Stegostoma tigrinum: one gene and its partners. The protein of the gene in region 1 binds, or shares a complex with, the protein of each later gene. Links are inferred from orthologs where the notes say so. Each region holds a gene or a part of one and is shown in the gene's direction. Other genes may lie near its edges.

Region 1 (10,773 bases):
AGAGTTGAGAAAAGCGGAGATAAGTTCGGTAGGGCAGGAGCAGGCTGAGACAATGGAGCAACCAGGGCAGTTGGTTTGTGGATTTTGGGAAGGAGATAGAAGCGGGCAGTGCGGAGTTGGGGAACAATGACGTTGGAGGTTGTGGGCGGGAGGTCACCTGAGGTGATGATGTTGCGGATATTCTGGGACATTCATAGAGGTGGCTCAGATTTGTACAGATGTCCATCCGGTCATTGGACTAGATCACATCCCTCAACAATCATTTCCCCCGATGCCATGTGACACAGGATACCAGCATAATCCCTCACTTTTGTGACATTCCTTCTATTTTCTGTTGTGAGGAGCAGGAAGAGCAGGAGCTTGGACCAGGGGCCTGTCGGGAAGCAGGTGAGTCAGTGATTTTAAATCTTTAAAAGCTTACCTCGAGCATCGGAGCCCTCCATTTCTGTTGTGAGCAGCCGCACCTTGGAGAGCAGAGGTTTCTGGGAAAGGAGGGACGTTATTTATCCCCTCAGCTATATAAGTGATTGTTTTCTAAATCCGAGACCCTATCCTTATAGGGCCTCCCACCCACCCACCTCCTCGAACCTAACACACCAGGTAAGCTTTTTTTTAAACTTTCTGATTAGGGGATAAGCAGCGATGGCAGTGTAGGTAGAGGAATGTTCCTCCTGCATGATGTATGAGGTGAGGGGCGCCATTAGTGTCCCATCCAAGTTCGTCTGCAGGAAGTGCACCCAACTCTTGCTCCTCCAAGACCGCGTTAGGGAACTGGAGCGGGAGCTGGATGAACTTCGGATCATTCGGGAGGCAGAGTCAGTGATAGACAAGAGTTACAGGGAAGTAGTTACTCATAAGCGTGAAGAAATCTGCGTAACTGTTAGAAAGAGGAAAAAGCAGTCAGTGCAGGGATCCCTTGCAGTCGTTCCCCTGAAAAACAAGTATACCGTTTTGGATACTGTTGTGGGGGACGACTTACCAGGAGCATGCAGTAGGGTACAGGTCTCTGGCACAGAGTCTGTCCCTCTTGCACAGAAGGGAAGGGGGGATAGGAAGAGAGTGATAGTCATTGGGGACTCAAGAGTTAGAGGGGCTGATAGAAGGTTTGTCGGGAACAAAAGAGACTCACGGTTGGTGTGTTGCCTCCCAGGTACCAGGGTCCATGATGTCTTGGATCACGTCTTTGGGGTCTTGAAGGGAGAGGGTGACCAGCTCCAAGTTGTGGTCCATATAGGCACCAACGACATAGGTAGAAAGAGGGATAGGGATGTCAGGCAGGATTTCAGGGAGCGAGGGTGGAAGCTGAGAGCTAGAACAAACAGAGTGGTTATCTCTGGCTTGTTGCCCATGCCAAGTGATAGCGAGGCAAAGAGCAGGGAGAGATTTCAGCTGAACACCTGACTGCAGGGATGGTGCAGGAGGGAGAGCTTCAGGTACATGGACAACTGGGGCTCATTCTGGGGAAGGTGGAACCTCTACAAACAGGACGGTCTCCACTTGAACCAGAGGGGCACTAATATCCTGGGTGGGAAATTCGCTAGTGCTATTCGGGTGGATTTAAACTATTTCAGAAGGGAGATGGGAAACTGATGTGTAGTTCCAGTACATAGGAGGAAGAGAGTAGGGAGGTTATGGACAGGACCTGACTGTCATGGGAGTGTGCTGGCAGACAGCAAGCTGTTTTGAAGTGTGTCTACTTTAACGCCAGGAGTATCCGGAATAAGGTAGGTGAGCTTGCACCTGGGACTTCGATGTTGTGGTCATTTCGGAAACATGGATAGAGCAGGGTCAGAAATGGATGTTGCAGGTTCCAGGGTATGGATCTTTCATTAAGATCAGGGAAGGTGGTAAAAGAGGGGGAGGTGTGACTTTGTTAGTCAAGGGTGGTGTAACGGTGGCCGAAAGAACTTTTGATGAGGACTCATCTACTGAGGTGGTATGGGCTGAGGTCAGAAACAGGAGAGGAGAGGTAACACTGCTGGGATTTTTTTATAGGCCTCCGCAAAGTTCCAGGGATGTGGAGGAGAGGATCGGCAAAGCTATTCTGGGCAGGAGTGAAAGGAACAGGGTGGTCATTATGGGAGACTTTAACTTCCCTAACATTGACTGGAAATGCGATAACTCGAGTACTTCGGATGGATCAGTTTTTGTCCAATGTGTGCAGGAGGGTTTCCTGACACGGTATGTCGCAGGGCCGACAAGAGGGGAGGCCACATTGGATCTGGTGCTTGGTAATGAACCAGGCCAGGTGTTTGATTTAGTGGTAGGTGAGCACTTTGGAGAGAGTGACCATAATTCGGTTGTGTACTTTAGCAATGGAAAGGGATAGGAACATGCCACAGGGCAACAGTTATAGATAGGGGAAGGGCAATTATAATGCGATTAGGCAAGACTTAGGAGGCATAGAATGGGGTAGCAAAATGCAGGGAATGGGGAAAATCAAAATGTGGAGCTGGTTTAAGGAGCAGATATTGCGTGTCCTTGATGGGTATGTCCCTGTCAGGCAGGGAGGAAGTGATAAGGTAAGGAAGCCGAGATTTACTAAAGAAATTGTGTCTCTTGTTAAGCGGAAGAGGGAGGCTTATGTGACAATGAGACAAGATGGTTCAGATGAGGCAATGGCGAGTTACATATTAGCTAGGAAGGATTTAAAGAGACAGTTAAGTAGAGCAAGGAGGGGACATGAGCAGACATTAGCGAGTAGAATAAAGGAGAACCCTAAAGCTTTCTATAGGTATGTGAGGAATAAGAGGATGACTTGGGTAGCAATAGGGCCAGTCAAAGACAGAAGTGGGAAGTTGTGTGTGGACCCTGTGGAGATCGGAGAGGCGCTAAACGATATTTCTCATCTGTTTTCACTGAGGAACAGGAGAATATTGTAGAGGAGAAGACTGAGTTACGGGCTACTAGAATTGAAAGGATTGAGGTTAGTCAGGAGGAGGTGTTATCAATTCTAGAAGGTGTGAAGGTAGATAAATACCCTAGGCCCAATGGGATTTTTTCCGAGGATTCTTTGGGAAGCCAGGGAGGAGGTGGCGGAGCCTTTGGCTTTGTTCTTTGAGTCCTCATTGTCTACAGGTTTAGTACCAGAGGACTGGAGGATTGCAAATGTTGTGCCCTTGTTCAAGAAGGGCAGTAGGGATGACCCAGGTAATTATAGACCTGTGAGCCTTACGTCTGTTATAGGAAAAATTGTGGAAAGGATTATAAGAGCTAGGATTTATAATCATCTAGCAAGCAACAATTTGATTGGAGATTGTCAACATGGATTCGCCAAGGGCAGGTCGTGTCTCACAAACCTCCGTGACTTTTTTGAGACAGTGACCAAGCATGTGGATGAGGGAAGGGCAGTTGACGTGGTGTAAATGGAATTCAGTAAAGCCTTTGATAAGGTTCTACATGGTAGGCTATTGGAGAAAATACAGAGGCATGGGATTGAGGGAGAGTTAGCAGTGTGGATTAGAAACTGGTTTTCTATAAGAAGGCAACGAGTGGTGGTTGCTGGAAAATATTCAGCCTGGTGTCCGGTTACTAGTGGTGTGCCTCAAGGATCTGTTTTGGGACCACTGCTGTTTGTCATTTCTGTAAATGACTTGGACGCAGGCATATGTGGATGGGTTAGTAAGTTTGCAGATGACACTGAAGTCAGTGGAGTGGTGGACAGTGTGGAAGAATGTTTCAGATTGCAGGGAGACTTGGATAAACTGCAGAATTGGGCTGAAAGGTGGCAAATGGCATTCAATGCTGATAAATGTGAGGTGATTCACTTTGTGAAGAATAATAGGAAGGCAGAATACTGGGTCAATGGAAAGATTCTTGGTAGTGTGGATGTGCAGAGGGATCTTGATGTCCATGTACATAGATCCCTGAAAGTTGCCACCCAGGTTGATAGTGCTGTTAAGAAGGCTTACGGTGTTTTAGGTTTTATTGGTAGAGGGATTGAGTTCTGGAGCTGTGATGTCGTGCTGCAACTGTACACAGTGCTAGCGCGGCCTCACTTAGAAAATTGCGTACAGTTCGGGTTGCTCCATTACAGGAAGGATGTGGAAGCATTGGAAAAGGTGCAGAGGAGATTTACCTGGATGTTGCCTGGTTTGGAACGAAGGCCTTATGAAGAAAGGCTGAGGGACTTGGGTCTGTTCTCATTGAAGAGAAGGAGGCTAAGAGGGGATTTAATAGGGACATACAAGATGATCAGGGAATTAAATAGGATGGACATTGAGAGTCTTTTTCCAAGGATGATGACGTCAGCTTGTACAAGGGGGCATAGCTACAAATTGAGGGGTGATAGATTTAAGACAGATATCAGAGGCAGGTTCTTTACTCAGAGAGTGGTAAGGGTGTGGAACGCCCTGCCTGCCAATGTAGTGAACTCAGCCACATTAGGGGCATTTTAAACAGTCCTTAGATAAGCATATGGATGATGATGGAATTGTGTAGGGGGAGGTGCTTAGATTAGCTCACAGGTCGGCGCAACATCGAGGGCCGAAGGGCCTGTTCTGCACTGTATTGTTCTATGTTCTATGTCCCACACCCTCATTGCCGAAGTTGATGGCCTCACCAACATTGGTGGAGCTACATGAGTGGACACTTCCTTGCAGTTGGTGGCTTGTGATCTTGCACATTCAGCAATTGAATCATTGTGCTCAGACGCCAGATGCCGCGATGGAGCGAGAGACGTGGCAGAGGGCCCCAGACTTTCAACGTCTCCAACTGTAAAGGTGAGGCCAACAACGTAACCTCCTCACCTGCATCATAGAATCCCTACAGTGTGGAAACAGGCCCTTCAGCCCAACAAGCCCACACTGGCCCTCAGACCCATCCCTCATAACCCACATAACCTACACATCCCTGAACACTGTGGTAATTTAGCATGGCCAATCCACCCTAACCTGTACATCTTTGGACTGTGGGAGGAAACCGGAGCACCCAGAGGAAACACACAGACACGAGGAGAATGTGCAAACTCCACACAGACAGTCGCACGACGGTGGAATTGAACCCGGGTCCCTGGCGCTGTGAGGCAGCAGTGCTAACCACTGAGCCACCGTGTTAGCTCCTAAAGTTCGTTGAGGGGGCACCCAAATCTTTCAATGTCAATGGAAAATGGTTAAAGTCTGTCTTGTTTGAGATGGTCATTGCCTCACACTTCTATCATGCAAATATTACTGGCCACTTGTCAGCTCAAACCTGGATATTGTCCACATTTTTCTGTGCTTGCACATGGACTACTTCAGTATTTGAGAAGTGGCAAATGGCGCTGAACACTGTGCAATTATCGGCAAGCATTCCCATTTCTGACTGCATGATGCAGGGAATGTCATTGATGAAACAGCTGAAGATGGTTGGATAAACACAGCAGGCCAGGCAGCATCACAGGAGCAGGAAAGCTGACGTTTCAGGTCTGGACCCTTCTGTCACTTAAGATGGTTTGACCTAGAACACTTACCTGATGAACTGTTGCAGAGATGCCTGGAGCTAGTATGATTCATCTCCAACACACAACCACTTCCCATGTGCCAGGTTATGGCTCCAACCAGTGCAGAGTTTTCTACCTTGTGCATCTTAATGCTACATTCGGTCATGTCAAAGGTCATTATCGCAAAGTGCATGTGATGCCAATTAAAGACATTCAGAACTCAGAATAAGCAGAACGTTCGTAACATCAGCAAACTCGCCAAACAGCGTGGCAACAGAGATGGGTGTGAGTTTTCACTGCTGATAAATGTAAACCAATAGCACAGAAATATAGCATTCCTTTTTGAGGATGCAAGGGCTAAGTGAAAGAGAATTACTTGGTAGTGGGAGCTAATGGACCATGGTTGAATTTTGCTGAGTGTGGGAATTCTCTGTTAAGTCATGGATAAATTATGGGCCTGAAATTTAGCAGAACTTCAGTTGTTCCACCAAAGAACTGGAACAACTGAATGGGCTGAATAGGGTAGCACAGGAGTCACTTGCTGCCTCACGGTACCAGGGAGCGAGGGATGAGCCTGGTCCAGCATTCAAGGCAATCAAGACCCATAGTCTAACGCAGTGTCACATCATCGATTCTCCCCTTACATCTTGATTCTCCTTTGAATCCTAATATCTTTCTTGAATATATTCAGTAATCGCCTTGTTGGGAGTGGGTGGGGTGAGTGACAGTGAAAAGTGAGGGAAATGAACTGGGCTCCATTTAGGGGCTCTCAGCAACCCTAGCAGGTGGAGGGGAGGAGATTGGCTTCGCTGAGGTAAAAGAAGAGCACATCACCGAGTGCTGGTGCTGGTTAGGGCACGTTGTACTCGAAGATACAGATGATGGGGTGAACCCACTCTGTGTCTGGGCAACAGCAAGGATATTAGGCGCCTCTGTTCTCAAAGGTGATATGCCAGCATCAAAGATGGCGGACAAAAAGACGACCAACGGGAGTGCCAGCATCGATGGCGTTGACGGCACCAAAAATCAGCCAGCATCAAAGATGGTGATCACGATGTCAAGAAACCCGCCAATATTAAAGATGGCGCCCGCCGAGACCAAATCCGCCAGTGTCAAAGATGGCGGACGTGACCTCAACCACCGCCAATTCCTTGACCCCCTGTCAGCTTTCGAACAGCTTAAAAATAAACCAGTTAATTTTATATCGGAAGTACGCTTGCGCTGAACCTGTCATTTTAACTTGAATAGCCCCCGATGGGGAAAAAAGCGTACATACTTCCGGCGGACGCCAGGTGGTTTCCATGGAGACGGCCGCTCACTTCCGGCCCGGGCCCTCCCCGCCCCCACCGGCTGCCAGCAGCCCGGACTCTGACTCTGTCTCTGGATGAGGGCGGACCTGGAGCCGGTGGAGGCCGCTGCCTCTGGCCGCAGGGCCTCGGACAACCGGACCCGGTCCCGGTCCCGACCTCGGCCTGGCCGCTGGAAGAAGGTCCTGTACGAGAGGCAGCCTTTCCCCGATAACTTCGTCGACAGCAGCTTCCTGGAGGAACTGCGGAAAAATAGTGAGTGGGAGCGGGGTGGGGGAGGGGGAGGAGGGTGAGGGGGATCGGAGTGGGAAGGGGAGGGGGGGATCGGAGTGGGAAGGGGAGGGGGGGATCGGAGAGGGAAGGGGAGGGGGGGGTCGGAGTGGGAAGGGGAGGGGGGGGTCGGAGTGGGAAGGGGAGGGGGGGTCGGAGGGGGAAGGGGAGGGGGGGGTCGGAGGGGGAAGGGGAGGGGGGGTCGGAGGGGGAAGGGGAGGGGGGGGTCGGAGGGGGAAGGGGAGGGGGGGGTCGGAGGGGGAAGGGGAGGGGGGGGTCGGAGGGGGAAGGGGAGGGGGGGGTCGGAGGGGGAAGGGGAGGGGGGGGTCGGAGTGGGAAGGGGAGGGGGGGTCGGAGGGGGAAGGGGAGGGGGGGGTCGGAGGGGGAAGGGGAGGGGGGGGTCGGAGGGGGAAGGGGAGGGGGGGGTCGGAGGGGGAAGGGGAGGGGGGGGTCGGAGGGGGAAGGGGAGGGGGGGGTCGGGGGGGGAAGGGGAGGTGGGGGTCGGGGGGGGTCGGAGGGGGAAGGGGAGGGGGGGGTCGGAGGGGGAAGGGGAGGTGGGGGTCGGAGGGGGAAGGGGAGGGGGGGGTCGGAGGGGGAAGGGGAGGGGGGGGTCGGAGGGGGAAGGGGAGGGGGGGGTCGGAGGGGGAAGGGGGGGTCGGAGGGGGAAGGGGAGGGGGGGATCGGAGGGGGAAGGGGAGGGGGGGGTCGGAGGGGAGGGGGGGATCGGTGTGGGAAGTGGATGGGGCATCGGAGGGGGAAGGGGAGGGGGGGATCGGTGGGGGAAGTGGATGGGGCATCGGAGGGGGAAGTGGATGGGGCATCGGAGTGGGAGGGACGGGGGGATCTGAGGGGGAGGAGTATCGGAGGGGGAAGGGGAGGGGGGGGTCGGAGGGGGAAGGGGAGGGGGGGGTCGGAGGGGGAAGGGGAGGGGGGGGTCGGAGGGGGAAGGGGAGGGGGGGTCGGAGGGGGAAGGGGAGGGGGGTGTCGGAGGGGGAAGGGGAGGGGGGTGATCGGAGGGGGAAGGGGAGGGGGGTGTCGGAGAGGGAAGGGGAGGGGGGTGATCGGAGGGGGAAGGGGAGGGGGGGATCGGAGGGGGAAGGGGAGGGGGGGGATCGGTGTGGGAAGTGGATGGGGCATCGGAGGGGGAAGGGGAGGGGGGGATCGGTGGGGGAAGTGGATGGGGCATCGGAGGGGGAAGTGGATGGGGCATCGGAGTGGGAGGGACGGGGGGATCTGAGGGGGAGGAGTATCGTAGGGGAAGCGGAGGGAGGATTGGTGAGGGAGGGGGTAGGGTCGGAGGGGGAAGGGGAGGGGGGATCGGTGGGGGAAGGGGAGGGAGGGGATAGGATCAGAGGGGAAAGTGGAGGGGGCATCGGAGTGGGAGGGACAGGGGGGATCTGAGGGGGAGGGGGGGTTCGGAGGGGGAGGGGGGATCGGTGAGGGAGGGGGAGGGGGAGGGGGGATCGGTGAGGGAGGGGGAGGGGGAGGGGGGATCGGTGAGGGAGGGGGAGGGGGATCGGTGAGGGAGGTGTTAGGATCAGAGGGGGAAGTGGAGGGGGATCGGAGTGGGAGGGACAGGGGTGATCTGAGGAGGAGGGGGGTTCGGAGGGGGAGGGGTATCGGTGAGGGAGGGAGCGGGGGGTTTGGTGAGGGGGAAATGGAGGCGGGATCGGAGGGGGTAGGGGAGATCGGTTAGGGAGGGGGAGGGGGATCGGTGAGGGAGGGGGAAGGGGAGGGGGTTCGGTGAATGAGGGGGAAGGGGAGGGGAATCTAAGAATAATGATGACTATGAATCCATTGTCGATTGTCAGAAGAACCCATCTGGTTCACTAATGTCCTACAGGGAAGGAAACTGCCATCTTTACTTTGTCTGGCCTACATGTGACTTCAGATCCACAGCAATGTGGTTGGCTCATAACTGCCCCCTGGGTAATTAGGGATGGGAAATCAATGCTTCCTGGCCAGCAATACCCTCACCCCCATGAATGAATAAAGAAAAAAGAATAGAATGGGACTTCCAGTGACCATAATTCTATTCATTTTAGAATAGTGATGGAAATGGATAGACCACATAAGCGTTAAAGTTCTAAATTGGAGAAAGGCCAATTTTGACGGTATTAGGTAAGTGCAGATAATGATCAGCCTAGGAGGACGAATAGTTATCAATGATGGGTTGTTTGTAATAGTAGCCCATGTGATAACAAGGCCTCATGTCCAGGGCTTGTGGTAAGGACGGAGGAGAAGGTGCCTCAAGTCCTAAAATAGTTGAACTCAATATTGAGTCCAGAAGGCTGTAGAACAGAGTATAGGAGTTGACGTTATTTCGGGCTAAGTTAGATAGAGTTTAGATTCACAAGAGGTGAGGACTGGGAGGAAGGTGGAAAGGGTAGCATTGTGGACAGGAAAGTGGAGTTAGATCACAATCAGAGCAGCCCTGATCTTGTAGAACATAGAACATAACAGCGCAGTACAGGTCCATCGTCCCTCGATGTTGCACCGACCTGTGAAACCGATCAGAAGCCCATCTAACCTACAGTATTCCATTATAATCCATATGTTTATCCAATGACCATTTAAATGCCCTTAAAGTTGGCGAGTCTACTACGGTTGCAGGCTGGGCATTCCACGCCCTTACTACTCTGAGTAAAGAATGACTTAGGAAACTCAAAAGGGTGAATGTACTACTCTTGGCCCAAAGTCCCATGTTCCTATGATTTTGTCACCATAAGTTCTGTTTTCTGTTCTAGTTTATGTGCGCCAGTACCAGGTATGGACGGTGGTGTGTGAATCCAGTGTTGTCATCCATCAGTTGTCCAGGTAAGCACAGCACACCACTTTGTGAGTGCACTTTGGAAATATGCAATAAAACCAGAGGAAGCAGGAAATAATTCAGCAGAGGAGATAGCATCTGGAGGGAGTGAAACAGTATGAACACTTTAGGCTTTTCATTTGAACATGCTGACCTTCAAGATGCAACAGGATTTAGGCAAGTTATGGAGATAGCAACAGGAGGAAGGATGAGAGGCAAAAAATACAAAGCTACAGTCTTTGGCAGAGTGGAAAGCAGGACAGATTAAATAATCAAAGGGAGGGTGCTGGAAGGCCACAGGAAGTGGGAAAGGAACAAGTAATGAAACAAAAGAGGGGCCTAGAGGAGGTGTGAATGGCACATGCAGAATCAGAGCTAATAGTAGGTGTCTCAAAGCCAAACCAAAAACACAAATGGATGTGCTAGGAAATTGTTGAGCTTGTGGTTAGGTCTAAGATGTTGTAAATTGCCTAATTGAAAGGTCAGATGCTGTTCAGTGACTCTGCACTGACCTTCACTGGAACAGTGTCAGTGATGCTCTAGTTCAGAGTGGGAGCAATGGAGACAGGTTTCAACAAACAGGCCATTAGAAGCTCAGGGCCAAATTTGTGGACCCAGTCTGCGTTTTGCCTACACTGTGTAGGCAAGAACTCATCGTGCTGCATCTCTCGGGTTTGCAAGGCAAATTGCTGTGCCAAGAGCAGCACGGTGGCTCAGTGGTTAGCACTGCAGCCTCACAGCGCCAGGGACCCTGGTTCGATTCCACCCTCGGGCGACTGTCTGTGTGGAGTTTGCACATTCTCCCCATGTCTGTGTGGGTTTCTTCCAGGTGCTCCGGTTTCTTCCCACAGTCCAAAGATGTGCAGGCTAGGTGGATTGGCCATGCTAAATTGTCCACAGTGCTCAGGGATGTGCAGATTAGGTGAATTATAGGGGGATGGGTCTGGTTGGGATGCCACGAGAGTCAG
Region 2 (10,772 bases), on another chromosome or scaffold:
TCTAATTGCATCAAAGGAGGGATGGCATCCATCTAAGAGAGAAACTGGGGCATCGGTTTGACACCTCCCCCGAGAACTGTACCTCTGACAGCACTGTTTTGGACTGTCAACTCAAATCACATACTCAGGTCTTCGGATTGAGACTCGAACCCATGATCTTCCAACTGAGGCAAAAGCATTACCCACTGAACTGTAATGGGTATTTTTACATGGAGTAGTGAACACTCCTGGAGTAAGTTCAGCAATATGTAGATACCGTAAGAGAGCAGGGATGCTCCAGATTTATCTAAATGAACGGATCAAATGGGCCAAATGGCCTTTCAGATCCACAAGGCTATTGTGAAATGACTAGCGAAATGGAATTGGTTAAGAGATGAATGTTGGTTAGGGCACCAGTACGTGGACTACTTTGAAATCATGCTGTAAGGTCTTTTATGAGGCAGATGGAACATGTAACATTGCTATATTCCATTCGGTGGATTGCCATACTCAATAGCTGAAACAAGTCATTGAGCCCATCCGATCTGTGTCAATGTTTATACTCTACATGAGCGTCCTCCCACACTAATTACCTCTTCCCACACTGCCTCAGTGCTGCTCCAATGGCTTCTCCTGCATGTGTGAATCAAGCTTCTTCTTAAATCCATCAATGCAATTTGCTCTGCCCACTCCATGAGGTGGAGATCTTTCGTACTACTCTCTCTGCAAGAAATTCCTCTATGTTTTATTTGATCTCAAAGTTTCCACAAGTGAAAAGTAGGTTTCTGGTTTTCAAGATATCCATCAGGTCGCCTCTCAGTCCTCTCTTCAGAGATAACGGCTCGAGCCTGCTTCATTCTTTCCTTCAACAGCTGCAGCCTCTGAAATCTTGCAATATCCTAGTAAAACCTTTGTGCATTTTACAGAGTGTACAGATCAGATGTGCTCCCATTACTCAATCTCAAACCAGGGTTCTCCATAAAATTAACATTACCTCCCAGCTCTGTAGTCATTTGCCTCTAGAAATGAGTTCCAAAACCTCATTTATAATTATTATTATCTTCCAGGTATTAATGTGTCTGTATTTCGAGAGCATCACACCCCTCTACCCTATTTGAAAACTAGTTTCCTTGTTCCACGGTCCAAAATACTTCTCTAGATTAAAATTCATTTCAAGATAACACCAATTTGAATTAGCCGCAAATCCTTATATTTCCCTTTACTTAGTCTGCGTCATTTATATATCTAGCGGACATTAGTGGTCCCGAACTTAAATCAGTTATTCACCAATTAATGCTTTCTGGCAGAGTGATGAACCCCCCCCCCCACCACCTTAATTCCTGGGATTTGTTTTGTAGCCAATGTCCTTCCTTACGTAGGAGCCACCGGCAAAGGCAGCATTATTTCCCAACCCCAATTACCTTTGACAGAGTGGTAATGAGCCACCTTCTTGAGCCTTTGTAATGCATGTGGCATAGTTACAAATACATTGCTGTCAGGGAGGAAGTTCCAGGATTTTAAGACAGCGATGATTTAAATATTTTCATGTCAGGTCGATACATGACATGGAAATTATGCTGTTCCCTTGTATCTGCTGTTCCTGTACGTCAAGGTGTTGGAAGCTACAGGCTTGAAAGGAGTTGATCAAACAAGCTAAGGTGAGATGATGCAGTGTGTCTTGCTGATGGTACACTCTGAAGCCATGTCGCACTGATGGCAGATGGGCAGAACATGTAAGGTGTGGTGGGCAGCATTTTCATTCTACACCCTGACCGTTGCATCATTGAATGGTTACTGTATAGATGAAGGCTAGTGAATTCATGCCAGCCCTCTACAAGAGAAAATCAGTCAGCCTCACCCTGCCCCGTCCTAGAAATTTCTACATCACTTCCTACGCAATTCACTTTAGAAAGTCAAAATTATATCTGACACCCTTGCGCTCTAAGGCAGAGCATTCTAAATCATAATCACCCATCACATAAAACAAAAGCTATTGGTTCTTTTGCCAATCTCCTTATATCATTGTTCACGACTTTTCTGCCAATAGGAACGCATTGCCTCCTATCCACTCGAGCTAGACCCCATCGCTTTCGTCCAATATCGTCGTAATTTCTTCCAAGGAGAACAACCTCAGCAGCTCCAATCTACCTGGTACCTCATACCGGGACCCACCCCTGTGACTCTTTCCAGCACCCTTCGTTGGGCCCTCACATCTGTCTGAAAAACGCAGTGCCTGAAATTGAGCAACAATACTCCAATCAGAATCAGACCAGTGTTCTATAAGGACTCACCAAAACGCTCTTCCTTGTGTAGTCAGTGTTTTAACTAATAAGGCTCACGATCCTGTGTGCCTTCACAGCATTATTTCAAGATGCCTCGTCACCTTCAACAGTTTGTGCACCTTATGGCACCAGGCTTCTCCGATGCTGGGCTTTTTTTTTAGAATTGCCCCCTTTTGTTTTGTACTTTTCCACCAAAATCTACCACTCCGCACCAAATCCCGAATTGATGACATAGTGGTTGTGTTGCCGGAATGGGTAATCTTGAGGCCTGACTTATGCTCCAAAGGCACAGTTTTGGATCTCGGCTGGTGAGATTTAAATTCCGTCTATTAACACACGGGAAAAATACGCTGGTCTCAGCAAAGACAACTGACCATCATCATCATCATCATCATCAATTGTTATAAAATCTCAACTAGTTCACTAATGTTGACTTGACCAAGCAATGTTTAGATTAGATTCCCTGGAAACAGGCCCTTTGGCCCAACAAGTCCACACCGCCCCTTGAAGCATCCCACCCAGACCCATCCCCCTATAACCCACACACCCCTGAACATTACAGGCAATTTAGCATGGCCGATCCACCTAGCCTGCATGTCTTTGGGCTGTGGTAGGAAACCGGAGCACCCGGAGGAAACCCACGCAGACACAGGGAGAACGTGCAAACTCTGCACAGACAGTCGCCCGAGGCTGGAATCGAACCCAGGACCCTGGCGCTGTAAGACTGCAGTGCTAACCACTGAGCCACCATGCTGCCCCAGCATGTCCTTTCGAGAAGGGAATCTGCCAGCCTTGCAGAGTCCAGATCCACAGCAAAATGGTGGAAGCCAGACCAGCCACTCAGATTTGAGGTGATCAACAAATGCTGGCCTTGCCTTCTAAGTACACATCCCACATAAAAACAAAAGCAGGGGAAAACAAAAGGTTAGCCACAGACCTCTTCGAACAATCGATGCACACTGCAACTTTTGTTATTCCTTCTTTTTCTTAAAACAGCACCTTTCTTTTAAGAATTGGTTACTTTGTATTAGAGTTTCAATCACTGGCTGTTTTGTTAACTGGCCTTTCAACAGGAATTCTGGCATTTCACAAGGTAAAATACTGCTGATGCTGGAAATCTGTAATGAACAGAAAATGCTGGGAAAGAACCAGCAGGGTAGCTGTGGAAATCTCTCTATTTTGTTTAAATTCACTGAGGGGAATGTGGGCATCACTAGCTGGTCAGCAGTTAATGCTCGCACCGCGCCCCCCCCCCCCCACCAACTGCCTTCTTAACTGTTGCAGCCCATGTGCTATAGGTAGACCACAGCATCCTGAGGGAGGCAATTCCAGGATTGTGACCCAATGACAGTGAAGGAATGCTGATATTTCCACATCAGGATAGCGAATGACTTGGACAGAATCTTGCAGGGGTGGTTTTCCCCAGTAGTCATCCAGAATGGAAACAGACCCTTTGGTCCAGCTTGTCAATTCCAACTAAGTTTCCCTAGACTAAACTAACCCCACTTGCTTGCATTTGGTCCATATCCCTCTAAACCTTCCCTATTCATGTGCCTATCCAAATGTCTTTTAAATGCCGGAACTGTACCTGCATCTACCACTTTCTCTGGCAGTACATTCCACACACAAACCACCCTCTGCGTGAAAAACTTGTCTCTTAGGTCCCTTTTAAATTTTTCTCCTTGCACCTTAAAAATACGTCCCCTAGTTTTGAACTCACCCACCCTAGGGAAAAGACCTTTGCAGTTAACTTATCCATGTCCCTCCTGATTTCAAAAAATCTTTAAGATCACTTGTCAACTCCTACACTCCAGTGACAAAATTCCCAGCCTATTCCATTCCCAGCAAAATCCTGGTAAATATTTTCCGAACCATCCTTCAGCAGGATGACCTGAAGTGTACACAGTACTCCAAAAATGGCCTCACTGACATCCGGTACAACCTCAGCATGACTTTCCAAATCCTCTACACAAACATCTGAGTGATGAAATCAAGCTTGCTAAACACCTTCTTAACAAACACACACACATACACCCCTTCTTAACCAAACTATGTCTTATGCAGCTTTCAAAGGATTGTTACCTGAACCCCTCTGTCTCGCTGTTCGGCGACACTACCCAGGGCCCTACCATTAACTGCGTATGACCTGCCCTTGTTTGTTGTAGCAAAATGCCATACCTTGCATTTATGTAAATTAAGCTTCATCTGCCAATCCTCGGCCCATTGGCCAATTGATTGCAATTTCCTTTGTAATCTTACATAACTTTCTTCACTGTTGACTATGTTCTAGATGGAACCGGTCATGAATTTGGAAGGTGCAGTCTGATGGTCTTTGAACTTCTGCAGTGCATCTTACGTAGACAGTACACAATGCTGTAACTAATCATCGGTGGCATCAAGCTGTGTTAATGGAGCTGTAACTAGTCAGGCACCTGGCCAGTATTCCATCACACCCCTGACTTATGCCCTGTAGATGATGGACAGGCCTTGAGGAGTCAGGAGACGAGTGTTTTTAACCTCTGAACTGCTCTTGTAGCCATTCAGTTATTTATATGGCAAGTCCAGTCGCGTTGCTGCTTAATTGACACCCCGCCCCCGTCACAACCACCCAAAGAGGATCCCCCTCGTTCTTACACACCACCCCACCAACCTCCGGATACAACGCATCATCCGCCGACACTTCCGCCATCTACAATCCGACCCCACCACCCAAGACATTTTTCCATCCCCACCCCTGTCTGCTTTCCGGAGAGACCACTCTCTCCGTGACTCCCTTGTTCGCTCCACACTGCCCTCCAACCCCACCACACCCGGCACCTTCCCCTGCAACCGCAGGAAATGCTACACTTACCCCCACACCTCCTCCCTCACCCCTATCCCAGGCCCCAAGATGACATTCCACATTAAGCAGAGGTTCACCTGCACATCTGCCAATGTGGTATACTGCATCCACTGTACCCGGTGCGGCTTCCTCTACATTGGGGAAACCAAGCGGAGGCTTGGGGACCGCTTTGCAGAACACCTCCGCTTGGTTCGCAACAAACAACTGCACCTCCCAGTCGCAAACCATTTCCACTCCCCCTCCCATTCTTTAGATGACATGTCCATCATGGGCCTCCTGCAGTGCCACAATGATGACACCCGAAGGTTGCAGGAACAGCAACTCATATTCCGCTTGGAAACCCTGCAGCCTAATGATATCGATGTGGACTTCACCAGTTTCAAAATCTCCCCTTCCCCCACCGCATCCCTAAACCAGCCCAGTTCGTCCCCTCCCCCCACTGCACCACACAACCAGCTCAGCTCTTCCCCTCCACCCACTGCATCCCAAAACCAGCCCAGCCTGTCTCTGCCTCCCTAACCTGTTCTTCCTCTCACCCATCCCTTCCTCCCACCCCAAGCCGCACCTCCATCTCCTACCTACTAACCTCATCCCACCTCCTTGACCTGTCCGTCTTCCCTGGACTGACCTATCCCCTCCTTACCTCCCCACCTATACTCTCCTCTCTACCTATCTTCTTTTCTCTCCATCTTCGGTCCGCCTCCCCCTCTCTCCCTATTTATTCCAGAACCCTCACCCCCTCCCCCTCTCTGATGAAGGGTCTAGGCCCGAAACGTCAGCTTTTGTGCTCCTGAGATGCTGCTTGGCCTGCTGTGTTCATCCAGCCTCACGTTTTATTATCTTGGATTCTCCAGCATCTGCAGTTCCCATTATCACTAAATATTAGCCCCTTGATTTTGATAGTGAGGGAAGTTCCCCATTTTCATGATGCTAGCTGCAAAGTAAGTGCACCTTGGCACCTTTCAGTTGTTTGAAGGTGCTCCTCCTGGTTGATTGGGGGAGGTGGCCTGTCCCTTTAAAAGGCCAGGTGTTCCCACGCAGTCACGTGGACAGGCGCACCCAGCGGCGTGACGTCACCAGCAGGGCTTGGGAGACATGGCGTCGACTTTCAAAGACCTAAGCGGCCGCTGCATCACCCTCGAACAAAGACACCACTCGCCGCTCTGCCGCGAGTTCACAATCCTGTCGCCGAAAATGTCCCTGCGTTCGGTGTTGGGGTGCACGGCCGCCATCTGGCTGGTCGCTTACGCCATCTTTAACAGGACGCAGGTAGGTGGGTTGGCCCCGGGGGGGGGGGTGGGAGGAGGTGCGGACACCTACTAATTGGACGATGGGGCCTGATGACGTGTGTCCCAGTCCTTTAGGCGGGCAGCGATCAATTTGCGATTGGCTGACGCCCCAATCAGTCATAGCCTGGGAACGCCTCGTCCCCGGTGCTGTCCAGACCGATTGGCCCCTGCTCCTGTCGCGCAAGGTCGTGACCACGCCCCACTGCGTTGTAGGTGCGCAGTCCGGCTTCGCACATGCGCAGTACCCTAACAGGTGACTCCTCAGGGCTCAATAGGTGAGCGATGTGCTAGCATCCTCAACCTGGGAGTATTTGCAGGGCATGGCTAGGTACTAAATGAACACTTTATACCTGTCTTTTCCGTCAGTGACTCATAATGGGTGGACTAAATATAAATTCATTCCTTCACTCACGCACAGAACATGGGTAACACTTATTGTTTCCTCTCTAGCTACCCCTTAAGCTGGTGCTGTCGGTAGAGAGAGCCCTTAGGAAGGGAGTTCCAGGATTTTGACTGAATGACAGTGAAGGAATGTTGATATGTTTCTAAGTCTGTATTATGAGTGACTTGGAGTGGAACTTGCAGGAGGTGGTATTCCCATGTTTCTGTTGCCCTTGTCCTTCTAGCTTGATGTGGGTTTGGAAGGTACTGTGTAAGGAGTCCTAGTGAATTTTTGTAGTGCATCTTATTGATGGTACGCACTGCAGCTACAGAGCATTGGTGGATAGAGTGGCACTACATTCAAATTCAATCAGCCAACTGTTTTGACTTGGATCGTGTGAAGCTTCTTGAGTTGTTTGAACTGCACCCATCTCGGCAAGTGGAATGTTTTCTGTTATACGTCTGCCTTGTGCCTTGTAATGCCCGACAGGCTTAGGGAATTATGGGCATGCAAGAATTCTAACATTTGACCCACTTTTGTACTTGTATGACGAGACCAGTTTAGTTTCTTGTCAATGGATATTGATAGTGGGGATTCACTGGTAGCAGTGCTATTGAATACCAAGGGGTGATGGTTAGATTTTCTTTTGCTGAAGTGAGTGTGAGACATGCCATTTGTTAACCCACACTGAATATTGTCCACGACTTGTTGCGTTTGGACATGGCCTCTATCAGTATCTGAGAAGTAATGAATTGTGAACATTGTGCAATCATTGAGCATTCCCACTTCTGATGGAGAGAAGATCATTGACAAAAGCAGTTGAGTACAATTCTGCCATGGACACAACCTTGAGGAACTTGATAAAGACATAACATTAGACAGGCTGGTAATGAATTGTGAACATTGTGCAATCATTGAGCATTCCCACTTCTGATGGAGAGAAGATCATTGACAAAAGCAGTTGAGTACAATTCTGCCATGGACACAACCTTGAGGAACTTGATAAAGACATAACATTAGACAGGCTGGTTGTGCACTTAGTTGATTTATCCCCAGGACTGGATGCAGTGTGAAGAGTTGAAATTTCAGACTTGCTAGCCATAATCATCTTCTTTTCCTCAAATACTCATTTGTGCCAGAGGGCAAATGTTACACCCTTGTTGAGAAAGGATATAAAGGTAATCCCAACAGCTATTGGTCAGTCACTCTCTAGCCTCGCTGGTGGAAAGCAGTCGAGATAAAATAGGACATAATAAGCAGTCAGTAAGCAAGTGTGGATTAACAAACAAAAGTCAGCGTGGATTTATTTAAAGCAAATCATTTGACTAAGAGTTTTTTTTTCTGCGGCACTCACACAGAGAGTTGATGTAGTGTGAATCATCTTCCCAAAGCTATGTATTAGAGGGCCACATCCTGGCTCTGCAACAAAGCTAAATCCTGCAGAATAAAAGACATAGTGGTATCATTGGCTACGCAGTTAGCTGAGTGACAGGAGACAGTGTAGTAATAAAAAGCTGACTTTTGTTTTGCATAGGAGGGTTCCCTCAAGAATCAGTACCAGGATCATACTGTTAGTCTTGATCTATATAATGACAATAAACTTAACTGCACAGGGTGTAATTAGTAGATGACAAAAAATTGGAAGTATTGTTGTGAACAGTGAAGAGAAGTAATATACCTCAAGAGGACGTAGGCAGAATTATTGGTCAGACATATAGCAGACTGGATTAGATTCCCTATTGTTATTTCATAATAACAAATCTGTAGTGATGCATTTTAATAGGCAGTGATACAAAATAAAGGGCAGTTTCTAATACATGTGAGGTACTGTGAATGCTGGAGATCAGAAATAGAAGCAGAGAATGCTGGAGAAACTCAGCATCTGTAGAAAGTGAAACAGAGTTAACGTTGCAGGTCCATGATCTGTAATCAGAACTGGGTGCAGACCTGCTGGGCATTTTCAGTTTCCATTATTAAAAGTTCAAGTTGGCTTCGTGAACAGGTTGCAGGAACTGCCCTGATAGTCTTTGTTGCAAATTGCTTCTTGCAGAACACTCTAGTGCTCTCAGCTTCCATTGTTTTGACTCTCGTTGGGATGATGCTGCACCTCCACTTATTTAAGATTGATCAGGAGTCAATGCTGATCATTGGATCGATTGGAGTCCAGATGAACACCGTGTATGCTTCTGGCAGAGAGAGTGTGAGATTCATTGAGATGAGGAAGGTGAAAGATATTGTGATCAATGAAGCCATTTATATGGTAAGTGAGACGGAGTAATGATTCCTTAAGTTACTGACACTCTACTGCAGAGTAACAACAAATATGGAACCTGAACGTGAAGGACTGTTTAATGTTTGAACACTTTCCTTGTTTAAACTATTCAGTCCTGGAGAAACTGCATCTTCTGTCTTTAATGTTGTAATAAACACTACATGAAATTTGAGAATTGCATAGCTGCTGTCAGAAAATTGATAGGCCACAATCAGAATTCACATTGGTACAATGCTTTTCATCACCTCCAGTATCTCAAATTATTTTTTTTTCTTTTGAAGTGCCCTACTGTTGAAATGTGTGTTGGGAGTCAGACCATGGGTTTCTGGTGAGTGAGAGTGTGAGAGGACTGGTGATGTAACCTGAGGGCCACCACACCTCTAGTCTGGGGAGAGCTTGAGAAGGAGAGCCCTTCGTGGTAACCTCAGCTGATGTGGGGATTGAACCCACGCTCTTGGCATCACACTGCTTCACAACCCAACTTCCAGCCGCCTGAACTAAACTGAACACCATTGAAGCACCTAACTGGAAAATGAAATGCTGTTTCTTGAGCTTCCATTGCTGAGAGCTTCCCAACTCCCGTCAGCTAGGGTCATCAAAGAAAGGAAATTGCCATGCCACTCTGTTTTATCTGGTTTCCTGTTTTCCTCAAAACTTGTTAAACTTCTAATTTCTCCCAACTTTGACAAAAGATCTGAAATGACAAACTCCGTTTCTTGCTGCTTAGATGCTGCCTGTCCCCTTGAATGTTTCCAGCATTTTTCAGTTTTTATTTCAAGATTTCCAAGATCCACAGTATTTCATTTCTGGATCCATATGTATCGAAATGCTTTTGAATTGAAATTTTTTAAAAATTGGGTCGTGAAGTATTAAAGGAAGACAAAAATGTAAATTAAGAACATGTAAGCTTTCAGGATTATACACATTCAACGAAAGAATCTTTGAACAATATGAAATGTGTAGTTGTTCATGAAAAGCACTGGGGCAAGGTGGAGCAGACAGGATGCTGGAGACTAAAACGAATGTGAGAGAATGTGACAGATGGGGCAAGGGAGGAGAGGTGGGAATAGAAAGTCTTGACGGAGTGTCAAAACGGAAACAGGATTAAGTGTGTAGGAGGTGAAAAACAGATTGTTTTAAAAAAATATAACAGGTAAATGGGAAAGATCCGGATCTAAAAGACAATTTAAAACTGGAACGCAGAGGGAAAATTGCATTTGTTGGGGGAGGGGTTGGAATAATAGTGAAAATGAATAGGCTAAATGTTCAAAAAGAAGGTTGCAGAGCTAAGGGGAAGAAAGTAGTGGCTGAAGGAAACTGGAATTTAAAACAAAATTCTGGAAATACTCAGCCGTGTCTGGGGACAATTAAAATTTCTGGGTCTTTCAGCACAATTGATATTGACTGATCATCTGGACCTGGCTGCTCTGTAGGGAGGGGCTTCAGTCATCTGGCAGTGTCATTGAACTCTACAGGCTCCTTCGTATAGTGGGTGAGGGAAATCAAAGTAATAAAACAAACAGCTGCAGGTCTAAAACTGAAAGAACAATTGCTGATGAAAATCAGAGGGTCTGGCAGCATCTGTGTGAAGAAAGTAGAGTTAATGTTTCCAAACCAGTCCTGATGAAGAGTCACTGGACTCAAAACTGCTTTCTTCTCACCGATGCTGCCAGACTGGCTGGGTTTTGCCAGCAATTCCTGTTTTTTGTGAGGGAAATCAAAACAT
Region 3 (8,482 bases), on another chromosome or scaffold:
TTATAATCATCTCGGAAGCAACAATTTGATTGGAGATAGTCAACATGGATTTGTCAAGGGCAGGTCGTGTCTCACAAACCTCATGGAGATTTTGAGGAGGTGACCAAGCATGTGGATGAGAGAAGGGCAGTTGACATAGTGGACATGGACTTCAGTAAAGCCTTTGATAAAGTTCCACATGGTAGGCTATTGGAGAAAATACGGAGCCATGTGATTGAGGGAGATTTAGCAGTTTGGATTAGAAACTGGCTTTCGGTAAGAAGGCAACCAGTGGTGGTTGATGGAAAATATTCAGCCTGGAGTCCAGTTACTAGTGGTGTGTCTCAAGGATCTGTTTTTGGCCTACTGCTGTTTGTCATTTTTGTAAATGACTTGGACGCAGGCATAGGTGGATGGGTTATTAAGTTTGCAAATGACACTAAAGTCGGTGGAGTGGTGGACAATGTGGAAGAATGTCGCAGGTTGCAGGGAGACTTGGATAAAGTGCAAAATTGGGCAGAAAGGTGGCAAATGGAGTTCAATGCGGATAAATGTGAGGTGATTCACTTTGGGAGGAATAATAGGAAGGTACAATACTGGGCCAATGGAAAGATTCTTGGTAGTGTGGATGTGCAGAGGGACCTTGGGGTCCATGTACATAGATCTCTGAAAGTTGTCACCCATGTTGATAGTGCTGTGAAGAAGGCATACGGTGTGTTAGATTTTATTGGTAGAGGGATTGAGTTCCAGAGCTGTGATGTCATGCTGCAACTGCACAAAACACTCGTGCGACCTGTTCTGGTCGCTCCATTGCAGGACGAATGTGGAAGCATTGGAAAAGGAGCAGAGGAGATTTACCAGGATGTTGCCTGGTCTGGAGCGAAGGTCTTATGAGAGAAGGCTGAGCGACTCGAGTCTGTCCTCATTGGAGAGAAGAAGGCTAAGAGGGCCTTTAATAGAAACATACAAGACGATCAGAGAAAGATGAGTCAAGGTGGATGGTGAGAGTCTTTTTCCTAGGATGATGATGTTGGCTTGTACGAAGGGGCACAGCTACAAATTGAGGGGTGATGGATTTAAGAAAGATGTCAGAGGCAGGTTCTTTACCCAGAGAGTGGTAAGGGTGTGGAATGCCCTGCCTGCCAATGTAGTTAACTCAGCCACATTCAGGGCATTTAAACAGTCCTTGGATAAGCATATGGATGATGATGGGATAGTGTGGGGGAATGGGCTTAGATTAGTTCACAGGTTGGCGCAACATCGAGGGCCGAAGGGCCTGTTCTGCACTGTATTTTTCTATGTTCTATGACCTGATAACTTGTTCTTATGATGTTGAAGCAAGTGTCCTCCCTACTGAGCCACTGCTGACACACAGCTAATGAGGGTGGATGACTAAAGATTTGGTCAAAGAGATAGATTTCAAACAGTCTATAAAGATAAGGGAGTGGAAGGTAAGGAATTCCAGCCCTTAGGATTCAGGCATCTGAAGGCACCGCCACCAGTGGGGTAGTGATTTAAGTCAGAGATGCTCGAGAGGTCACACTTGGAGAAACTCTGAGATGTTGGCATACTTTAGGGCTGAAGGAAATTGCAAGAGATAGAGAAGAGTGAGAATCTAAAAACAAGGATGAGCATTCTAAGTTTGAGGTGTTGTCAGACTGTGGCTCGATGCAGTTCAGCAGGATCCAGGGTTAGAATTAACCGAAATTGATGTGAGTTAGAATATGAACTGTAGAATTTTAAATGCTGAGCTCAAGTTATATTGAGGGTGACAAGGTTGTGTTGGAATGATCAAACCTAAATCAAGGTAAAAAGACACCATTCGTGCTTAAGCAACTGAAGAACAGAGGCAGGTGGCTGTGAGCTGAATATATGTAGTCTTGGTTTTGAAGCATTTGGAGGGTAATCATGGGTTCAAATGGCATTGAGTTTAACCTCAGCAAGTGGTCACAGACAGCCTTAAAAATCAGAAAACAGGATTTGTGACATAGATTGAAGAGAGTGGTGTCTGTCCTTTCAAGGCGGTTTTAGAGGAAATGTCTGATAATCCAGTATTAGAGATGGTGAGAAATCTGATGCAGTTGACAGGAGGGAAAGCTGGGTATCTGCAGTGCAGATGTGTATGACACAGATTTTGCTGCAGTTTGGTACCTAATGGCACTTTTAATTGATTGGAGTCGCCTTTATTCGTTCAATTTCTGGAACAGCATCTTCCTGAAAGTGAGTGAGCTCTACAATTTACAGCAGCATTTGCCCTTTTCAATGGGGGTGAAAGGTGGAGGGGGCGGGGCTAGTGCTTTAGCCCGGATGCGGAAGTGTTGGTGGTGAGTCTGGAGTTTCGGGTGGGAATGATTCGGGTTGGGTACGGGTCTCGCATCCGGGGAGCGGCCCGGAGGCTTCTGCATCTCTCCCGGGCCAGGCTGTCAGGAGAATCGGTAACCGGGGAGGGAGACAGGAAGGCTGCTCTGGACCCGACCCTGCTCCCGTATCTGGTGTGTCCCCTGTCCAGAAAGCAGCTCAGGTTCGTCCTTGGGGAAGGTCAGAGACTAGGACAGGGGAGATATCCTATGTCTAGCAACAGGAGAACGAGTCGCTGAAAATAACTAGATTGCTGTTAAGAAGTGCTAGCACATTCTTGATCGTCTGAATGGTCTCCTCTTCACAATTCGGGATGGCGGAGCGGAATGGAGGCAGAGAGTAGGAACAATGAATTTGATTTTTGAGTTGAAGGGAACTGGAGCGGGTTCAGGGAAGGGATTGAACTGGCCTCAAAGCAGGATTTTGCAAAGTGAAAGACCGTTCCGAGGACCTTTAATGGAATCTGGGTTTCATTGTGGCCCTGGAGGAAGGTGGATAATCTCAGAGCACCTAATACTGCAAGGAGAGGACTCCCATCAGCTCTGTGGATGTTTCTACTGTGCAATGCCAACACAAAATGTTCTCTAAAATAATGCAAACAACTAGTATTTATATAGTGCCTCTCATTACCACCAAACGTCTGAAGATGTTTCTGAATTAGTGAAGTACCTTTCCACTGTTGTAATGTACAGATATGCAAACAAGGATGTGATATTGACCAGCAGTCTTTTTTCATGATGGAGACAGATGAACATTCTTATAGAAGAATGAGGGGGATTTATAAAAAACTTTTACAATTATGAAATGAGTCAATAGAAGCAAGGAGCATGTTTCCACTGGTGGGAGAAACTAGAACAAGAGGACATAGCCTCAAAATTACAGGAAGCAGATTTGGCACTGAATTGAGTTGTGAATTGGCAGAATTCTCTGCCCACTGAAGTAATTAAGGGTTAGAATGAGAGGGTGGATAAGTGGAGCTGAGGCCATGAAAATATCAGCGATAATCTTACTGAATGGCAGCTGGTCTACTCCTACACCTAGTTCTTATGTTCTGTGAATACCAGACAACTGTCCAGCTTTTTCTTTTGAATAGTACAGCAGTCCTTCTGTATTGAATTCCTGTCCCCAGATAGTGCCATGTTCCCTTAGTACTGTAGTGGCTGTATCCACCTAGGTTTGTAGACTCACATCTCTGGGGTGAGACTCAAACACCTGGTTTCCTGATTCTGATGTGAGTGTGCTTGCTAAGTGATGGGTTGTCAGCAGATTGACTGAACAAAAGCAGGATGTCTTGATGCCTTTAGACTGGAGGAATTTTTGTCTTGATTGTACACCAGAAACATTCAGAGTATTCAAATCAAAGGAAGTGGCTTGTGGGAAGTAAATAGATGCAATGGTTCTGCCTCCTTGATAGTATTGCCATTTATGTACTGTAGCCAGAGCAGGAATGGCTTTTTGGTTTGGGGCTGTTCGTTCTTCATTTTAGAAGCTCAGAACTGTTATACAATTGACTTCAATCCTGTTTAGTTAGAGGAGAGGGATGAAACGCCTACATGGATTCTTCATCCTGAAGATTTAGCAAGTATGTCTATGAGTGTCTTGACTGCAACACCATTCTCAATCAAATAGCTTACCATTTGCTTTTAAGATACTTGTGTAAATAATAATTTCCTTGTTGAGTCTAAGCTACAAATGATTGAAGAACTCCATCCCATCAAAAAGTAAACATCTTCAGGGAAGTGTAGAGAGAAGAATGGAAATACATACAAGATTAACAGTATCTGAACCAGAAAAGTGGGTTTGTTTAGCAGATCAATTCTGATCTCTGTACCAAAGGAAGTTGAGTTTAATAAAATTATCAGTTTGTTGTTAAAGATAACAATTTCCCCACATTTATTTTTCATGTTTTGTTTTGTTTTGTTTCTGTCCTGGCTATGTTTCACCTTTTAAATCAGTCAGTTAGCAACATACCCTCCCAAAGCTACAATTTTGCACAACAGCTTGGCAGTTCTCCCCACTGACCCTCGACCACAACACTTGTATTACATGCAATCAGCTGATGAAAATATCAGGTTTCTTGAGCTTGTGAAAGAAACTGTGTAAATGCAGAAGTGTTCGCTTGTCTTTCCAACTCTTTTGAAAATTGGAAATGTTTTGAGAATCATAGAAAGATATTGCCTTTTGAAACATAACATTTTCAACCAGATTAAAAGGGCAGACTCCAGTTCCAACTCATTTTGAATGAGCTGCAGTTTAATACTTTGCTTCTGTCACCTTTATAGATATGATGAATCCTCCAATCAGCTGATCAATGATGAGTTGGGAATAGCCTATCCTGTTGTCGATGGAATTCCCAACATGATCCCTCAGGATGCAAAGTTAATTCGCAAGAGTGAAGACACACCCAAGGCGGAAGAACTTTCACAGCAGTAAACGGATCACACATTGCTTCTGGAAGTGGTGGGGAACTCTGGAAGTTTGAGATTATTTTAAAGGGAGGGAGCTTATCTTGCGTATTGCAAGATAATGACAATCTATCTGTCAACTCTCACAGTGCTGGTTCCCCTGTTCTCTTTAGCTGGGCTGTTGTACTCAGCTGCATTTGACAAGGATTTTCCACAGGGCTGCACTAGTATGGCCAGCTTGTGTTTCTACAGCCTACTACTCCCCATCACTATCCCAGTGTTTGTATTTTTTCACCTATGGAGCTGGATGGGGATTAAACTTTTCAGGCATAACTAATTTGAGTTCAAAAGCTATTGCGTATGATGATGTTTGTGGTGACCTGACGGCATCAACCTCTCAAATGAAATTTAGTTTCAGTAACAAGGTTTTTCCATTGGCTTGGAGGTATTTAGAATCTTGAGTGTATTATTGGTGGAAATTGGCACTGTTTTGGTTAACTTGTTCCTTACACACAAAATGCGAGGCATTCACTTTTGCCTCATCATGGTACATTTTTCTGGTAATGTTCAGTTCCATTGGCTTCATTCCCAGTGACTGCAATGCAGGAGACATTAACAGGCAGTCCATTTGAACCAGTTCGATACGGATTTCTGTCTTGAAGAAACAGTGTAACCAAAGTCACATCAAATTCCACCACAATGTCAGATGCAAATAAACCATGGAAATTCATTATAACAAAGGTTTAGTTTTGGTGCTTTTGACCTTGCTTTCGAAGACACTTGCTGTTTGCCTGGGTATTTAGCCACACTTGTGGTCTGTATTTGAGTTTCCTTGCCTGTATTCTGTTACTTTCACACGTTGCTTGGTAGGTAGTACAATGATTTCTTGATTCAGAAGGTTGTAGTTTAAGTTCCATGTTTGCTGATACTCCAGTGTAGTACTGAGAAAATATCACATTGTCAAAAATGCTCTCTTTTAAATGTTAACCAAAGCCCTGTCTGCTCCCTTGTGTAGAAGTAAAAACTTCCATGGTGCTATTTAAAAGAAAAGCAGGGGAGTGTTCATTGGCTATCTGACTAATGTCTGTCCTTCAAGCAACAACATTTGAAAAAATAAACATGTTATCTGGCAAATATCATATCGATGTTTGTGGGAACTTCCTGGGCATATGTTGGCTGTCACATTTTCAATGGTTCAACCATGACTTCACTTCAAAAGTACTTCAGGATGGCCCAAAGTGTATTATAATTAATGAAATGCCTTATCAGGGGGAAGTAACAAAGTGCTGGAGGAAGCCTGGCAGCAGCTGTGGAGGGGGAAACAGAGCTAACATTTCAAGTGTAGAATGACTCTTCCTGCACTTGCAGTATTTTGCTTTTATTAGGACTGGGAGCCCTTCCTTTACTGAATTTTCTTCAGAAGAAGCTGGGCATAGAATAGGCTAGAATCAGTCTAGGTCAGAAGTTGCTGAAAACTTAATACAACCATGGAATGACCTGTCATTGTAAACTAAGTTACTGGTAATGAGCAGTTCGAGTCATCTACATGTTGAAAGCAGATGATTATTTCCATACCATGCAGTTTGAGTTATCTTTAAATAAAGCAATTTGAAGCAAATGTTTCATCTCCATCACTAGACTGTCTGGCTGTAGACTGGATATTTTTTACCTCAGTTAAGATGGGGTGAAGTTGACCAGAGATTGCAAATTCTGCTTCAATGGGATGCAGTGGGAGGAGGGGAGATATTGAAGCTGGTGAAATCCACATTGATACCATTAGGCTGCAGGGTTCCCAAACGGAATATGAGTTGCTGTTCCTGCAACCTATGGGTGACATCATTATGGCACTGCTGGAGGCCCAGGATAGACATGTGCATCCCAAAACCAGTCCAGCTTGTCCCTGTCTGCCTAACCTGTTCTTCCTCTCACCTATCCCCTCCTCCCACCTCCATTTCCTACCTACTAACCTCATCCTGCCCCCTTGACCTGTCTGTCCTCCCCGGACTGACCTATCCCCTTCCTACCTCGCCACCCGTACTCTCCTCTCCAACTATCTTCTCCTCTATCCATCTTCAGTCTGCCTACCACCCCCTCCCTATTTATTTCAGAATCCTCTCCCCATCCCCCTTTTCTGATGAAGGGTCTAGGCCCGAAACGCCAGCTTTTGTGCTCTCAAAATGCTGCTTGGCCTGCTGTGTTCATCCAGCCCCACACTTTGTTATTTTGGATTCTCCAGCATCTGCAGTTCCCTTTATCTCTGTTTATAAAAAGGAAATTGCTTGACAAATTCAAGGTTTGTTTTGATGTAACCAATGGTATAGACAAAGAGGAGCCACCTTGTTCTAGAAATCACCAGAGGAAACAATTTTTGTCTATCTCTTTATCATCTTAAACATTTCAATTCAACCACCCCTCAAATTGTTTTAATCAACCTATTCTGACGTTATCACCTTTGGAGCAGACGGGACTGGAATCCAAGCCTCCTGGCTATCGGCACAACCACTGTGCCAAAGGAGCACCTTTCTTAATTTTCTATAACTTGGCCAATAGTGATGTGGGAAACCTCATTTCATAATTTAACCTTCTATGTACTGGTTATCATTCTGAGGAATCTCTATTGAGTTACTCCAAGGCCAATATAGTAGAGGAGACAAGTGGTGTAATGGTACTGTCACTCGACAGATGGGTCAGAGGGTCAGGTTACTGTTTTGGGCACAAATGTTAAAATTTTACTACAGTGGCTAACATAAAACTAGCCTCCATAATGCTTTGTCAATTGTCATAAAGTCCCATTTGAACAAAGAATAAAACCACAGGAATGGAGCCCTTCGGCCCTCTAAACTTGTGGCCACTACATTTTGCTCTTCCATACTAAAACTGTCTTCACTTACAGGATCCATATACTTCTATTCCTTCCTATTCATGTATTCGTCCAGGTGCTTCTCGAATGCTGCTATTGTGCCGGATTCTACAACCTCCTCTGGCAGCACATTCCAGCCACTCACCACCCTTTGTGTGAAAAACGTGCCTCGCAAGTCTCTTAGAAAGTCCATCTCCTTACAAACCATCCCCCCCCCCCACCGACCACCACCACACCATGAACATGTGAACCCTTGTAACCGAGCCCCCACTCTGGGAGAAAGCTTTGCACTTTTCACACTATCTATGCCATTTACAATCTTAAAATCATATTGGGTCACTCTTCGACCTCCTTCATTCCAGTGAAAAATAAACCCAGCCTAGCCATATTTTCTTCACAGCTAGAATCCCCCATACCAGGCAACATCCTGGTAAACCTTTTCTCTATCCTCTCCAAAGCATCAACATCCTTCTGATAGTGTAGTGATCAGAACGATAAATAATAGGTCAAAGTGTGGCTTTACTAAAGTTCTGTAAAACTGCAGCGTAACTTGTCTATCCTTATACTCAATCTCCCTACTAATGAAGGCAAACATGCCATAATTTCTGAAGAAGGGTCCCGACCTGAAACGTCAGTTTTCCTGTTCCTCTGATGCTGCTCGGCCAGCTGTGTTCTGCCAGCTCCACACTGTTATCTCTGATTCCAGCATTGGCAGGTTTTACTATCTCTGATGCTATAAGCTCCTTTTTTTTTCAAAATTACCTTATCTACCTGTGCTGCCACCTTCAGTGATCTCTGGAACTGCACACCCAGATCCTTCTGCCTATCAATACTGCTAAGGGTTCTGCCATTCACTGTATAATTTCCACCTGTTTTTGAC

Evidence for each region.
Region 2: pigc (region 1) and pigh share a complex: the UniProt entries of both Homo sapiens proteins name them as parts of the glycosylphosphatidylinositol-N-acetylglucosaminyltransferase (GPI-GnT) complex. The link is inferred for Stegostoma tigrinum from reciprocal best matches to the Homo sapiens genes PIGC and PIGH.
Region 3: pigc (region 1) and phosphatidylinositol N-acetylglucosaminyltransferase subunit Y-like share a complex: the UniProt entries of both Homo sapiens proteins name them as parts of the glycosylphosphatidylinositol-N-acetylglucosaminyltransferase (GPI-GnT) complex. The link is inferred for Stegostoma tigrinum from reciprocal best matches to the Homo sapiens genes PIGC and PIGY.

Annotation. Positions count from the first base shown.
Region 1 is NC_081387.1:9,165,607-9,176,379, reverse strand, and holds the start of pigc (phosphatidylinositol N-acetylglucosaminyltransferase subunit C), read left to right. Parts: upstream 1-6,753; 5' UTR 6,754-6,803; coding exon 6,804-6,981; intron 6,982-9,743; coding exon 9,744-9,813; intron 9,814-10,773. UniProt on the Homo sapiens protein: Part of the glycosylphosphatidylinositol-N-acetylglucosaminyltransferase (GPI-GnT) complex that catalyzes the transfer of N-acetylglucosamine from UDP-N-acetylglucosamine to phosphatidylinositol and participates in the first step of GPI biosynthesis.
Region 2 is NC_081363.1:80,334,062-80,344,833, forward strand, and holds the start of pigh (phosphatidylinositol N-acetylglucosaminyltransferase subunit H), read left to right. Parts: upstream 1-6,142; 5' UTR 6,143-6,198; coding exon 6,199-6,372; intron 6,373-8,824; coding exon 8,825-9,034; intron 9,035-10,772. UniProt on the Homo sapiens protein: Part of the glycosylphosphatidylinositol-N-acetylglucosaminyltransferase (GPI-GnT) complex that catalyzes the transfer of N-acetylglucosamine from UDP-N-acetylglucosamine to phosphatidylinositol and participates in the first step of GPI biosynthesis.
Region 3 is NC_081370.1:36,822,754-36,831,235, forward strand, and holds phosphatidylinositol N-acetylglucosaminyltransferase subunit Y-like, read left to right. Parts: upstream 1-4,863; coding exon 4,864-5,079; 3' UTR 5,080-5,881; downstream 5,882-8,482. Other genes in the region: protein preY, mitochondrial-like, read left to right, coding at 2,309-2,500, 4,620-4,770. UniProt on the Homo sapiens protein: Part of the glycosylphosphatidylinositol-N-acetylglucosaminyltransferase (GPI-GnT) complex that catalyzes the transfer of N-acetylglucosamine from UDP-N-acetylglucosamine to phosphatidylinositol and participates in the first step of GPI biosynthesis.